Linked DNA regions of Macaca mulatta. The protein of the gene in region 1 interacts with the protein of each later gene in a biochemical or structural test. Links are inferred from orthologs where the notes say so. Each region holds a gene or a part of one and is shown in the gene's direction. Other genes may lie near its edges.

Region 1 (7,785 bases):
TGGTGTGCACCTGTAGTCCCAGCTACTTAGGAGGCTGAGGTGGGAGGATCACTTGAGACCAAGAGGTAGAGGCTACAGTGAGCAGTGACTATACCCCTGCACTCTAGCCTGGGTGACAGAGCCAGACACTGTCTCCAAAAAAACAAAACAAAACAAAACAAAAAATAGAAAAATTAAAATAATATTCATCTTATTTTGTTTTTTAAAAATTCATTCATCCTAGGATGGGCACGGTGGCTCATGCCTGTAATCCCAGCACTTTGAGAGGCTGAGGCAGGAGGATCACCTGAGGTCAGGAGTTCGAGACCAGCCTGACCAACATGGAGAAACCCTGTCTGTACTAATAATACAAAATTAGCCAGGCGTGTTGGCACATGCCTGTAATCCCAGCTACTCGGGAGGCTGAGGCAGGAGAACCACTTGAACCTAAGAGGTGGAGGTTGTGGTGAGCTGAGACTGCGCCACTATACTCCAGCCTGGGCAATAAGAGCGAGACTCCGTCTTTAAAAAAAAAAAAATTAGGCCGGGCGCGGTGGCTCAAGCCTGTAATCCCAGCACTTTGGGAGGCCGAGACGGGCGGATCACAAGGTCAGGAGATCGAGACCATCCTGGCTAACACGGCGAAACCCCGTCTCTACTAAAAACACAAAAAATTAGCCGGGCGAGGTGGCGGCGCCTGTGGTCCCAGCTACTCGGGAGGCTGAGGCAGGAGAATGGCGGGAACCCGGGAGGCGGAGCTTGCAGTGAGCTGAGATCTGGCCACTGCACTCCAGCCTGGGCGACAGAGCGAGACTCCGTCTCAAAAAAAAAAAAAAAAAAAAAAAAAAAAAAAAAAAAAAATTAGCCAGGTGTGGTGGTGCACACCTGTAGTCCCCGCTACTCGATAGGGGGCTGAGGCAGGAGAATTGCTTCATCCTGGGAGGTGGATGTTGCAGTGAGCCGAGATCATGCCATTGCACTCCAGCTTGGGCAACAGAGTGAGACTTCGTCTCAAAATAAATAAATAAATAAATACACATGTACATAAATAAATAAACAATTCACCCATCCTTTACTTTTCATTGTAAATGCTACCTTCTTTCTTTCTTCTTTTTCTTTCTTTCTTTCTTTTCTTTTCTTTTTTTTTTGAGATGGACTCTTGCTCTATTGCCCAGGTTGGAGTGCAGTGGCACTATCTCGGCTCACTGCAAGCTCCGCCTCACGGTTACACGCCGTTCTCCTGCCTCAGCCTCCTGAGTAGCTGGGAATACAGGTGCCCGCCACCATACCTGGCTGATTTTTTGTATTTTTAGTAGAGACAGGGTTTCACCATGTTAGCCAGGATGGTCTTGATCTGCTGACCTTATGATCCGCCCATCTCGTCCTCCCAAAGCGCTGGGATTACAGGCGTGAGCCACTGTGCCCAGCTGCAAATGCTACTTTCTCCATGAAAAATTGTCTGCTTTGTGTGTAGCTTTCTTGTGCCATCTTGACACATTTACCTGAGTGCATATTGTATTTGATTCATTTGTCATATCTGCTTGAATCAGATGGTTATTACTGGTGAATGGACAACAGTAGTTAAGAATTCAGGCTTTGGATCCGAGCAGGTTTAGACCAAAATCTGATTGTGCCATCTGTGTATCCCAGGCTGAGTACTGAGCCTTTCTGAGCCTCTTTAGCATGGGAGTGGAGGGGCATTCGGTGCACTTGCCACAGAGGCAGCAAGCAATGAGATAATCTATTAAGTGTCGAGCCTGGTGCGTGGCTCTGAAGGACTGCTCAATACATGTGAGCCATGATCACACATTTCTGGAGGGCACAGATGGTCTTGCAGGCTTTCCAGAATATAGTAGGTGTTCAGATTCTTTCCTGATACTCATTGGTGCCCCTCACTTCCTTCCATTATCCGGGTCAGACTGAGTTCATCTGGGATTGGAAAACACAGCAGGCTGGTATGAATGAAGTCAGCCTACAGCCCCAGGTACAAGCCAGAGCTTGGTCAGCCCCCTCCCTAGGTTTAGGGGGAAGGGAATGGATAATTAACACCTTCTCACTGCTGGGAAAACAATGAAAAGTACTTGTTACACTGATAATGGGTTAATTTCTTTTTCTCTTTTCTTTTTTTCAGACAGTTTCACTCTGTTGCCCAGGCTGGAGTGCAGTGGCATGATCTCAGCTCACTGCAACCTCCACCTCCCGGGTTTAGGCGATTCTCCTGCCTCAGCCTCCCAAGTAACTGGGATTACAGGCACCTGCCACCATGCCCGGCTAATTATTGTATTTCTAGTAAAGACGGGGTTTCACCATGTTGGCCAGGCTGGTCTTGAACTCCTGACCTCAGATGATCCAGCCGCCTTGGCCTCCCAAAGCGCTGGGATTACAGGTGCGAACCACCGCGCCCAGCCAGATGGTGGGTTAATTTCACTTTGAACAGCATCGTTCTGATTGGCTTTCCCTCCCCCTTCCAACCCATTGTTCAAAAATTCCCTTTATTCTTTGATGAAAACTTCCCCAAGTGGGTCATCTACCTTAAGTATACTAAACACCAGGTCTTGAAGGGGTTAAAAAAGGCTGCTATGATTCACCAGAAAAAGAGGAAAGGCTTGGTAAACGCAATGCTAAAGAATCAAGAAACTGGTGGTTAAGTCCACGGTGGAAACAAAAAGAGAAAAGGAAGGATGCAGGTATTTGTTGTCAGCATTTAACCTAGATTTTTCATCTCTTGATTTTATGATTATGTTGCAAGGCTATAGGTTGTCTCTATTATATATATCTATAGATATAGTCATATGGAATTGTTCTAACATCTATAACAATATACTGTAATAAAAGTTATGTGACTATGGTCTGTCTCCGTCTCTCTCTCAAAAATATCTTCTTGTACTGAACATAGCTATTTTTGGACCGCGGTTGACCGTGGGTAACTGAAACTGCAGAAAGCGAAACTGCAGATAAGAGGGGGAACTACGGTAGACGCCTCCCACCCGTTAGTCACTTGGGAGCCGTCTGGGTTATCAGATCGACTGTCTGCAAGTATTGCAGTGTTTGTGTTCAAGTCACCCTTTTCTTTTTTTTTTTTTTGAGACGGAGTCTCGCTCTGTCACCCAGGCTGGAGTGCGGTGGCCGGATCTCAGCTCACTGCAAGCTCCGCCTCCCGGGTTCACGCCATTCTCCTGCCTCAGCCTCCCGAGTAGCTGGGACTATAGGCGCCCGCCACCTCGCCCGGCTAGTTTTTTGTATTTTTCAGTAGAGACGGGGTTTCACCGTGTTAGCCAGGATGGTCTCGATCTCCTGACCTCGTGATCCGCCCGTCTCGGCCTCCCAAAGTGCTGGGATTACAGGCGTGAGCCACCACGCCCGGCCAAGTCACCCTTATTTTCTATCATAATGGCCCCAAAGCACAAGAGTAGTGATGCTGGGAATTTGGACAGGCCAAAGAGAAGCCGTAAAGTGCTCCCTCTAAGTGAAAAGGTGAAAGTTCTCGACTTAATCAGGAAAGAAAAAAAATCCTATGCTGAGGTTGCTAAGATCTACGGGAAGAATGAATCTTCCATCCGTGAAATTGTGAAGAAGGAAAAAGAAATTCGTGCTAGTTTTGCTGTCTCACCTCCAACTGCTAAAGTGACGGCCACGGTGCGTGATAAGTGCTTAGTTAAGATGGAACAGGCACTGCATTTGTGGGTGGAAGAGATGAACAGAAAACGTGTTCCCATTGACAGCAACGTGTTGTGCCAGAAAGCCTTGAGCCTATACCAAGACTTCAGCAAGGGATGCTCTGAAACTGACACCAAGCCATTTACTGCGAGTAAGGGATGGTTACACAGATTCAGGCATAGATTCTCACATCATTACAAGAAGAAGAAGAAGGGTGAGTACAGTACAAGTTATTTTGAGAGAGAGAGAGAGAGATCACATTCACCTCAGTACTTGCTATACTTGTTCCATTTTGTTATCATTGCTGTTAACTTCTTCCTGTGCCTAGTTGGATTTGGTATTATCCAAGGTTTCAGGCATCCACTGGCAGTCTCGGAATGTGTCCCCCACAGAAACAGGGGACTACTGTATTCACTCTCTCTCTCTCTTTTTAAATTTTTATTGTAGGTTCATGGGTACATATGCAGGTTTATTATACAGGTAAACTCGTGTCACCGGGGTTTGTTGTACAGATTATTTTGCCACCCGCGTACTAAGCCTATCCAATAGTTATTTTTTTTCTGCTCCTCATCCTTCTCCCACTGAGGCGGGCGGATCACCTGAGGTTGGGAGTTCGAGATCAGCCTGACCAACATGGAGAAACCCCGTCTCTACTAAAAATACAAAATTAGCCAGGCATGGTGGCGCATGGCTGTAATCCCAGCTACTCGGGAGGCTGAGGCAGGAGAATTGCTTGAACCCAGGAGGCAAAGGTTGCAGTAAGCCGAGATCGCGCCATTGCACTCCAGCCTGGGCAACAAGAGCGAAACTCTGTCTCAAAAAAAAAAAGAAAAGAAAAGAAAAGAAAAGAAACATGGAACATGGACTTTTTTCATATTTTTAAAAAGTTTTGAATGCTAAATAATACCATCTAATATTTATATAACACGTACCCAAGTTCATAAAGTATTTTCATCTACGTATCATCTGATTTCCCCAAATCCCTGAAGGAGGCAGAGAAAATACTATAGAGGTTTTATTTTTAACAACTTAAATTTAGAGCTTTATATTTAAAAACTTAAATTTAAAAACTTTAAAAAACGACAATGTTAACATAATCCTAAATAGCAGATAAAATTCATCTAAATCCTGCTACCCCAACAAAGAAAACTGTTTATTTCAACTGGTGCAACATGAATATTCGTTTTACTGTGTCGGCCAGATGCTCACACAAAAGGCAGAGCTAGAGCTGGAAGGTCTATTTAGATCACATCTACATTATTAATTGTTATGAATAAATTATAACTTGGATTTAGGTTTTTTTTTTTCCACCTTTGGATGAATTCTAAGAACCATACATACTGGAAAAGATAGTCATTCATTCAGGATTCAAATTATTCAAACAAAAAACCGTTCAAAAACAGTGTTTTATAATCAGTATTAAAAAATATCATTGTGGTTGGATATGCTGGCTCATGCCTGTAATCCCAGCACTTTGGGAGGCCGAGGCGGGCAGATTATGAGGTCAGGAGTTCAAGACCAGCTTGACCAACATGGTGAAACCCTGTCTCTACTAAAAATACAAAAATTAGCTGAGTCTGGTGGCACACGCCTATAATCCTAGCTACTCGGAAGACTGAGACAGGAGAATCACTTGAACCCGGGAGCCAAGATTGCGCCATTGCACTCCAGCCTGGGCAACAGAGTGAGACTCAGTCTCAAAAAAAAAAGTATCATTGTAAGAACAAAGGAGTTATCTGCTAGAGTGTAGATACACATGTGACAGCCAAAGAGGTCTTGTGACCCTACTGAAGTGATCCGGGCAGGATTGTGCAAATCATAAATTGGAACAATGTCTACAGGATCAAAGTATTATCTTACAAATGATATTTTACATTCTGTTCTCAATATAAAGAATGTATAGTGTACTATGTACATTGTAAAGAAAAACCAAGAAATTGGACTTAGAAGATATTGGGCCTGTATCAATCAGAGTTCAACGAAAAAGACCTCTGGTATTCATCAAAAGTCATGCTCTGCTGTGGAATACAGATCTGTCAAGAGTATCTGGGCCAGGCCTGGTGGCTCACACCTGTAATCCCAGCACTTTGGGAGGCTGAGGTAGGCGGATCTCTTGAGCCCAGGAGTCCAAGACCAGCCTGGGCAACACGGTGAAACCCTGTCTCTACTAAAAATACAAAAAATTAGCTGAGTGTGGTGGTGTGCACCTGTAGTCCCAGCCATTTGGGAGGCTGAAGTGGGAGGACTGTTTGAGCCTGGGAGTTTGAGGCTGCAGTGAACCGAGATCTCGCCACTCTACGCCAGCCTGGACAACTGGAGTGAGAGATCCTGTCTCAAAACAAAAAGCAGAAAACAGAAAAACAGAGTATCTGAACTTTCACCAGAATTATGGTTTTGGGCAATCTGAAATATATGACTGAGGGCTGGGCACAGTGGCTGAAATGCAGTGGCAGCACTTTGGGAGTCCGAGGTGGATGGATCACCTGGGGTTAGGAGTTTGAGACCAGCCTGGCCAATATGACCAACATGGTGAAACCCCGTTTCTACTAAAAATCCAAAAATTAACCAGGTGTGGTGGTATGCACCTATAATCCCAGCTACTCGAGGGCCTGAGGCAGGAGAACCGCTTGAACCTGGGAGGTGGAGGTTGTGGTGAGCGGAGCTTGTGCCACCTCACTCCAGCCTGTGCGGCAGAGTAAGACTCTGTCAAAAATAATAATAATAAATAAATAAATAAATAAATAAAATAGAATGTATGAGAGAGGGTGGGTACAAGTGCTCATGCCTGTAATCATAGCACTTTGGAAGGCTGAGGCAGGAGGATTGCTTGAAGCCAGGAGTTTGGAACCAGCCCGGTCAACACAGCAAGACTCCATCTCTACCAAAAAACAATGATATAACAGAGTCACCAAAAGATTATTCAGTTTGGATTCAAAAGAGCATCTTTAAAAAGAGTGTATGATCCCAATAACAGAGATCTCAACAAAGTGGCATAACCATCATTCAGTCACCATGGGCTTTCAGGGGTTCCTTTCCAGGGTCCCATGATCACATGCTATTTCTTTTTCTTTTTTCTTTTTTTTTGTTTTTGAGACAGAGTCTCGCTCTGTCACCCAGGCTGGAGTACAGTGGCGTGATCTTGGCCCACTGCAAGCTCCGCCTCCTGGGTTCATGCCATTCTCCTGCCTCAGCCTCCTGAGTAGCTGGGACTGCAGGCGCCCGCCACCACGCCTGGCTAATTTTTTATATTTTTAGTAGAGATGGGGTTTCACCATGTTAGCCAGGATGGTCTCGATCTCCTGACCTCGTGATCCGCCCGCCTCAGCCTCCCAAAGTGCTGGGATTACAGGTGTGAGCCACCACGCCTGGCAACATGCTATTTCTTTTTTCTTTTCTTTCCTTTTTTTTTTTTTTTTTTGTTTTTGAGACGGAGTCTCGCTCTGTCGCCCAGGCTGGAGTGCAGTGGCGCGATCTCAGCTCACTGCAAGCTCCGCCCCCCGGGTTCCCGCCATTCTCCTGCCTCAGCCTCCCGAGTAGCTGGGACTACAGGTGCCCGCCACCACGCCCGGCTAATTTTTTTTTTGTATTTTTAGTAGAGACGGGGTTTCACTGTGTTAGCCAGGATGGTCTCGATCTCCTGACCTCGTGATCCGCCCGCCTCGGCCTCCCAAAGTGCTGGGATTACAGGCTTGAGCCACCGCGCCCGGCCCCTTTTTTTTTTTTGAGACGGAGTCTCACTCTGTCTCCTAGGCCGGAGTGCAGTGGGGCCATCTCGGCTCACTGCAACCTCAGCCTCCTGAGTAGCTGGGATTACAGGCGTGCACCACCATGCCCAGCTAATTTTTTGTATTTTTAGTAGAGACAGGTTTTACCATTTTGAGATGGAGCCTCGCTCTTTTGCCCAGACTGGAGTGCAATGGCGTGATCTTAGCTCACTGCAGCCTCTGCCTCCTGAGTTCAAGCGATTCTACTGCCTCAGCCTCCCGAGTAGTTGGGATTACAGGCACATGCCACCATGCCTGGCTGATTTTTTTTGTATTTTTAGTAGTGATGGGGTTTCACCATGTTGGCCAGGCTGGTCTCAAACTCCTGACCTCGGGATCCACCCACTTCAGCCTCCCAAAGTGCTGGGATTACAGGCATGAGCCA
Region 2 (7,620 bases), on another chromosome or scaffold:
AAATGGGAAGTTGTACACAAACAAGAGGCCGAGGGAGTCAGAGAGGATGAGGACAAAGGACAGAGGGGGAAGGGAGAGTATGAAGCAAGAAAAGACCAAGGAGATGGTGAAGACAGCAGAAGCCCAGAAGCAGCAACTGAAGGAGGAGCAGGGGAGGTCAGCAAGGAACGGGAGAGTGGGGATGGAGAGGCTGAGGGAGACCAGAGGGCTGGAGGGGACTATTTAGAAGAGGGTACCCTCTCTGAAGGCTCAGGTGTAGAGTCCCTGGAGGTTGACTGTGCCAAAGAGGGCAATCCTCACTCTTCTGAGATGGAAGAGGCAGCCCCACAGCCACCCCAGTCAGAGGAGAAGGAGTCTGAGGGGCAGCCCAGTTCAGATGGCTGTCTATGTCCCTGTTCCCTTGGCTTGGGTGGCGTGGGCATGCGTCTAGCTTCTACTCTGGTTCAGGTCCAACAGGTCCGCTCTGTGCCTGTGGTGCCCCCCAAGCCACAGTTTGCCAAGATGCCCAGTGCAATGTGTAGCAAGATTCATGTGGCACCTGCAAATCCAAGCCCGAGGCCTGGCCGGCTTGATGCGACTCCTGGAGAAAGGGCTTGGGGGGCCCGAGCTTCTCGATCCTCTTGGAGGAATGGGGGTAGTCTTTCTTTTGATGCTGCTGTGGCCCTAGCCCGGGACCGCCAAAGGACTGAGGCTCAGGGAGTTCGGCGAACCCAGACCTGTACTGAGGGTGGGGATTACTGCCTCATCCCCAGAAACTCCCCTTGTAGCATGATCTCTGCCCATTCTCCTCGGCCCCTTAGCTGCCTGGAGATCCCACCTGAAGGCACGGAAGGGTCTGGATCCCGGAGTCGTCTTAGTCTGCCCCCCAGAGAACCCCAGGTTCCTGACACCCTGTTGTCCCCTCAGCGCCGATCGTATGCATTTGAAACACAGGCTAACCCTGAGAAAGGTGAGGGACTGTGATTAGGACCACAGCCCTGGGCAAAGGGGACCAGTAAGTTGTCTTGAATCTCCAGGGTTCCTGACTAGCTGTCTCTTCTGCAGTCTAGGCAGCTGTAGTGCCCAACTCTATAGGCTTTGGCCCTCCAGCTTCTCTGACTGTGGGAGGCACTGCCGTGTCTCAGACAGAAAGCACTTATCTCTTAGGAGATTCCCAAGAAAGTCAACAAGATCTTGTTCCCAGGGAGTGGGTTACTGGCCAAAGGGAACATAAGGTAGGCAGAAAAGTTAAAAGAGTTTCTTAAAGTGAAGACTGGAGAAGTTCCTCCCTTCCTCTGAGCTATGAATCTCTCTTCATGAAAGCCAAAGGTAGAGACGGGGGACAGGGCCAGGTTAGGGCCTTCCATACACAAACACTTCTAGAGTTGCCCATTCCTGTTCTGCTCTTGGACCCTTAGATACCTCCTGTCCTTTTTAGATCCAGATTAAGAGAAACGTTCAGGAAGCTCTTTGAAACCCTCAGTATTTGTTGGAGGGACTGGACTCCTCTCCAGCTGCCCACCCTCTGCCTCCAGTCACCATGTGCAAGAGAGATCCTGTACAGATGTCTCTGGGCTCTCGTTTTTCCTTTAGAATAACTTCTTCCTATTTCAGGAAAGGGAAATGGTGTCACTCAGGCCCTGGGACTGCTTCTCCAGCCAGGTTGGGGCCATAGGTCCCACTCTAGTGAAGGTCAATGTCTCAGAATAAAAGCTGTATTTTTACACGTAGTGTGGAGTCTCATTACTCTTATTAAAGTCTTTGGTGATAGCTATTATATCTTCATATATTTGGCAAAACATTCTTTTTCTTCTTGTTGTTTGGGTGCTCTTCCTCAGTTGTTGTCATGGAGACTAGTGGCTAGAAACTAGAGCTAGGTTCATGGTGGTCACGAAATAAGGAAGAGAAACTTATATTTACATAATGCTCATTATGTGCCAGGAACTGGACTAAGTATCCTGTGCTCATAAAATCTGTGTCCTTGATTTTATTTAATCCACATAAGTCTGGAAGGTTGGTGCTAGTATCTCCAGTTTATAGATGAGGAAACTAAGGCTCAATTAAGTCAAAATGTTTGCCAAAGGTCTCAGAGGTAAGAAGTGGCAGAGATGGGTTTGAAACCTGGATCTGCCTCGTCCCCAAGTTTGAATTCTTCCCATTATACCACACTACTCCAAATCCATTCAGGGTAGGTCTTGATTGAGAAGAACAGGAATCAAGATTCCTGTCACAGAAAGTGTGAGCCTTTAGAAAACTAGAAGCTTTGGGGTCTTCGGGTTAGTGACTGCCGACGAGAATAACAAGGAACATACCCAGTTCTATGCATGCCCTGATAGGTCGTAATCTCTAGCAGGTAGGTAATCTTTCAAAAAGACGCCCTGAGCCAAGATGGCCTCCCAAATAGCCCTTGTTAAAGATGGCGCCTCCGTCAGACGTCCCTCCCTTCATCTCAGCTGGATTCTCTCTCTTTTTTCCTGGAATGAAAAAATGCCCTGCCAGCGCTAAGATGTCAGTACAAGTTAGTCGTCTCTTTCCCGTTCTTGTCTAAAGTGGCCAGGGCTTCAGCTACATACTCCAGGACACTGCTTCTTCCCGACTTCACAGAAAACCCACAAACATCAGCTCTCATCAAGATGGAGTGAGCGGAAGTGGGGCGGCTCTGAGTTTGAGTTTGTGGGCGGGCCGAGAGCGACACTTCCGCCCCTCACCAACATGGCTGCGGGCTGCAAGTGCGCATGAGCAGCTGTCTATGGAGCTACCTAGGTCGGGAGAGGGAGAACACAGTTGGAGAAAATCGGCGGCTGAGACGGCCTTGGCCGGTGAGTGTAGGACCGGGCAGAAGTCTGGAAACTGGGTGGACTGGCAAGGCAGGGCAGGTTTGATTTTGTTTCCTTTTTTCTGGTTAGAGAACACTGCTGGGGAGGAAGCCTTTGTTTTGGGCTGGGGGGGGGGGTGTTGTGCTGGTTCTTTATCTTCTACCCTGCTTTGTGGGCCAAACTCCCTGCCCCCGAGCGCGAGCGTCCCAGCCCTCCTGCGCTGTCCAGCTGCGGGCCGCAGCCGCCGGCACCGGGCGCCTGAGCCCCCTAGTCCCCGATGTCCTTTCCTGCCTCCTCTGCGGAGCAGCTGGGGCGCGGGGCTAGACTGCGGGGCTGCGGGTCACGGCGCAGGCTCCCGGGCTCGCGCCTGGCGGGCGCTCAGCTCCTTAAGCGCCTTCTGGTTGGAGAGCCTGCAGGGAGACGCCTCATTCTCAGGCAAGGTCTAGGCGCCTGACTTCTTTCGGGAGTAGATTTTTTTCCCTTTGTGTCCAGACTTAGCAAGGGCTCTTACTGGGCCCTTCTGGCCTGAGCGTGCCCACCACAACGTCCCATTCCAGTTTCCGTGTCACAGATCCCTAATGCCTAGGAAATGCTTCCGGATGTCCAACTAAGATTTGAATAAGTACCCTGACCCCGTTGCTGGGTGTCCTCAGAGACTGCCCCGGCTGACAGCTGTGGCCAATAGAGATGCCTCCTGTGCCGGGCCCTCTATTTCATTGCCTTCCCCTGCAGTCAGCGCGGCAAGCTTCGCAGGGCATTTCCTCTTCAGGTTTGAAGATGGAAATGTAGGTGGTCCCAAAACACTAGTGTTACTTCCCCTTATCGACTGGGATCTCCTTGCAGCGTTACTTCCTCTGGACGGTTTCACTTTCAGTTCCTTTTTCAACATTTTCCTCGGACGCGGTCTTTCCAAGGCTTATCCACTGAAAATTTTCCTTGGATAGGAAAGGTCTGGAGGACCTTATGGGTAGAGAATTTCTAAAAATCTTGCCCCTTTTGTGTTGGGATTATCTTACTGCTTTGTACTGTGTAGCTGTTTCTTTCTGGAGGCATGTCTGCCCAGCTCTTTGTTTTTCCTGCCCTCTGGCTGGGTGTCAGGGTCCTAAGGCAGAGCTTGTAGGTGGATTCTTCCCCCTTTGTCTCTTCTTTAGAACCCTGTTTTTGTTTTTTTTTTTTTTTTTTTTTTTTTACCCCTTCTTGCTGAGGCTCAGTTGATTTGGAGTTGTCATAGCAACATTTTAGCAACTGTGTTGTTCTACAGGAAGGCTTGATGAATAAAATAGAGGGTGCTTGAAGAGGATCCACTTGGGCTTTAGGGTTTCTAACAGATTATATAAATCGGAATACCCCAAAACAAGAATCCTGTCAGTAGAATGGGGCCCAAAGGCCAAGTCTAGTCTTTGTGGTCAGGGACATTCTTCCAGTGGTAGTGGGCTTGAGATTTCCTCTTCCTAGGTTTGAGAACAGAAATGTCTTGGTGGACAATATGTGGCTGAGAAACTGGAAGAAGTATCGGTGTCCATGACACGGTATTTTTTGATGGTGGGGCCAATACATGGCCCTTCCTGATTCCCATGAGGCTGCCATCATGGCAGGTCATAATAGCTTTAATAGTGATCCATTTAGAAATGTGTTGTTGGCTGGGTGCGGTGGCTCATGCCTGTAATCCCAGCACTTTGGGAGGCTGAGGCAGGTGGATCACCTGAAGTCAGGAGTTCCAGACCAACCTGGCCAACATGGTGAAACCCCATCTCTACTGAAAAATACAAAAATTAGCCGGGCATGGTGGTGGGCGCGTATAATCCCAGTTATTCAGGAGGCTGAGGCAGGAGAATTGCTTGAACCCAGGAGACGGAGGTTGTAAGCTGAGATTGTGCCACTGCACTCCAGCCTGGGCAACAGAGCAAGACTGTCTCAAAAAAAAAAAAAAAAAAAAATGTGTTGTTTCAGCCAGGTGCGGTGGCTCACACCTGTAATCCCAGCACTTTGGGAGGCCGAGGCGGATAGATCACGAGGTCAGGAGTTCGAGACCAGCCGGGCCAACATGGTTTAGTAGAAACCCCGTCTCTACTAAAAATACAAATATTAGCCAGGCGTGGTGGTGTGCACCTGTAATCCCAGCTACTTGAGAGGCTGAGGCAGGAGAATCACTTGAACCCGGGAGACAGAGGTTGCAGTGAGCTGAGATCGCGCCACTACACTCCAGCCTGGGTGACAGAGCGAGACTCTGTCTCGAAAAAAAGCGTTGTTTCTGTCTTCCAGTATAATTATCCCCTCTCTACCAGGAGTTGGAGTGATAATGGAGGGACAAGGAACACTATTTGTAGAGTTGCTTTTTCAATCACTGTAGGCCAGTCCTCAACATCAGTATGGTGGAGGCTGATTGTCCCCTGCAGATGACTGGGTTATTTTCCTGGCTGTGTGTTCATGGAACCTAAGTTCTAGAACCGGAGATACTGTTCTGTTTCCTAGACTCACTGCAAACTTCATGATTTCTACCAGGACTTAGCACTCAGGCCTGTGAATAGGAGATACAAAGACTTCCAAAAAAGGACCAGTTCCTCGGATGTGCCCCCTCACAGAGAGATGAAGGGGTGAGTGAAGAAGGGGTAGGGTCTGGGATGAAAGATGGGTGGCCTGGAAGAATGCAAAATGGCCAAGAGCACTGCCTCTGGAGTCAGGCAGACCTGGATTCAGGTTCTACTCTATCACTTACTGTGTGATTTGGTTTCTTCATCTATAAAATGGAAGTAGTGCTATCTATCTCATGGTGTTGTTTTTAATATTAAATAAGAGTACATGTGATGTACTTAGCTTAGTGCTTATGTACATAGTAAACAGCAAACACTAGTTGTTATTCTAACCTAACTCAGCTTCTGTTGGGAATGCCAATGAGTTTGCAGCCATATGTTACTGGGCCGGTGAGCTTCTCATTGACTTCTTCCCATACTCTTCCTTTTGTCCTTTCACCACAAACAGGCAGCAGAAAACAGCTGAAACGGAAGAGGGGACAGTGCAGATTCAGGAAGGTGAGTGCTAGAGACGGAACCAAGACTAAGAACCCATCATGGCCTCCCTTCCTCCCCCACCAGACCATCTCCTGTGCATCCTCCTCCTTCAGTGACATGCACGTGGAACGGGGATAGAAAGGCAGTTAACTCACAGACTTTTCTTTTGTTCTTTTAATTCAGGTGCAGTGGCTACTGGGGAAGACCCAACCAGTGTGGCTATTGCCAGCATCCAGTCAGCTGCCACCTTCCCTGACCCCAACGTCAAGTACGTCTTCCGAACTGAGAATGGGGGCCAGGTAAGGGAGGGGGCCAGGTGGCTGCAGGTGTTATTTGGGATTGGGATTGAGGGAGGTAATTGAACATGTCTTGGGGAGACCTGGCTTGGAGGATGAGTTGAAAGAGTGGACTGTTTCAGGGGAGGGGGGTGCTGATACTGGAGTAGAGACTGGTGTGAGGTTAGGTGTATGCTGAAACCTCTGTGTGGGGAGAGAAGGGAGAATGGCTCAATCCGTGTCTCTGAAGGACTTTGTTTTGGGGCCCTATCCAAGGGAAGCTTTATGAGGGGCCCTAGGATTCCCAACACTTAATCTTTTATTCTCTCTTTCCCTTGCTCTGCCTTCCTCTACACTTCTAGGTGATGTACAGGGTGATCCAGGTGTCTGAGGGGCAGCTGGATGGCCAAACTGAGGGAACTGGTGCCATCAGTGGCTACCCTGCCACTCAATCCATGACCCAGGTACAGGGTATGGGCTGGGGAGGTGACTAGAGTTCTGAGAAGTAAGATGAAGAAGGGTATTAGTAGGATGGGGGTGAAGCTAGGAACAGTGAGGCGTCTAGGGCTGCCTTGTCCCAAAGCACTAGGCTCTCCTTTCCTGGATGTTTCTCTCTCTCTCTCTCTCTCTCAGGCGGTGATCCAGGGTGCTTTCACCAGTGATGATGCAGTTGACACGGAGGGGACAGCTGCTGAGACGCACTATACTTACTTCCCCAGCACGGCAGTGGGAGATGGGGCAGGGGGTACCACATCGGGGAGTACAGCTGCTGTTGTTACTACCCAGGGCTCAGAGGCACTGCTGGGGCAGGCGACCCCTCCTGGCACTGGTGAGATACTGCATGAGGATGCTGGCTGAAAGGGCTAGAATAGGCTGTGAGACATGACTGGTAGGCAGTGAGCCTTCACTCATGACTCTTAGTGATCATTAAGATCTGGGCAGGCAGTGAGTCCGGGGCTGCTCTTCTATTAACATGTTCTTTTTAGAGGAGGGGCCCAGGGTCTTCACCTCAGGGCTTGGTGAGGTTCCTACCCATGTCCTGACAGAACCTACCCTGCATCTTCACAGGTCAATTCTTTGTGATGATGTCACCACAAGAAGTACTGCAGGGAGGAAGCCAGCGCTCAATTGCCCCTAGGACTCACCCTTATTCCCCGTGAGTGACACTTGTTTCTTCTCAAATTTCATAAGTGTTTTTTTTTGTTTTTTTTGTTTTTTTCTGAGACAGAGTCTTGCTCTGTCACCCAGGCTGGAGTGCAGTGGCGTGATCTCAGCTCACACAACATCTGCCTCCAGGGTTCAAGTGTTTCTCATGCCTCAGCTTCCCAAGTAGCTGGAACTACAGATGTGTACCACCACCCCTGGCTAATTTTTGTATCTGTTTTTGGTTTTTTTTTTTGAGACGGAGTCTCGCTCTGTCGCCCGGGCTGGAGTGCAGTGGCCGGATCTCAGCTCACTGCAAGCTTCGCCTCCCGGGTTTACGCCATTATCCTGCCTCAGCCTCCCGCGTAGCTGGGATTACAGGCGCCCGCCAACTCACCC

What was found. The genes of interacting proteins can lie anywhere in the genome.
Region 2: the proteins of GTF2I (region 1) and USF1 form a complex in vitro, tested with the Homo sapiens proteins (2 studies listed by BioGRID). The link is inferred for Macaca mulatta from reciprocal best matches to the Homo sapiens genes GTF2I and USF1.

Annotation. Positions count from the first base shown.
Region 1 is NC_133408.1:52,146,746-52,154,530, forward strand, and holds the start of GTF2I (general transcription factor II-I), read left to right. Parts: upstream 1-2,939; 5' UTR 2,940-3,369; coding exon 3,370-3,850; intron 3,851-5,940; exon of another isoform or gene 5,941-5,997; intron 5,998-7,785. UniProt on the Homo sapiens protein: Interacts with the basal transcription machinery by coordinating the formation of a multiprotein complex at the C-FOS promoter, and linking specific signal responsive activator complexes.
Region 2 is NC_133406.1:105,834,901-105,842,520, forward strand, and holds the start of USF1 (upstream stimulatory factor 1), read left to right. Parts: upstream 1-2,672; 5' UTR 2,673-2,714; coding exon 2,715-2,855; intron 2,856-3,670; exon of another isoform or gene 3,671-3,744; intron 3,745-5,267; coding exon 5,268-5,389; intron 5,390-5,774; coding exon 5,775-5,824; intron 5,825-5,986; coding exon 5,987-6,102; intron 6,103-6,440; coding exon 6,441-6,542; intron 6,543-6,711; coding exon 6,712-6,907; intron 6,908-7,146; coding exon 7,147-7,234; intron 7,235-7,620. Other genes in the region: ARHGAP30 (rho GTPase-activating protein 30), read left to right, coding at 1-963.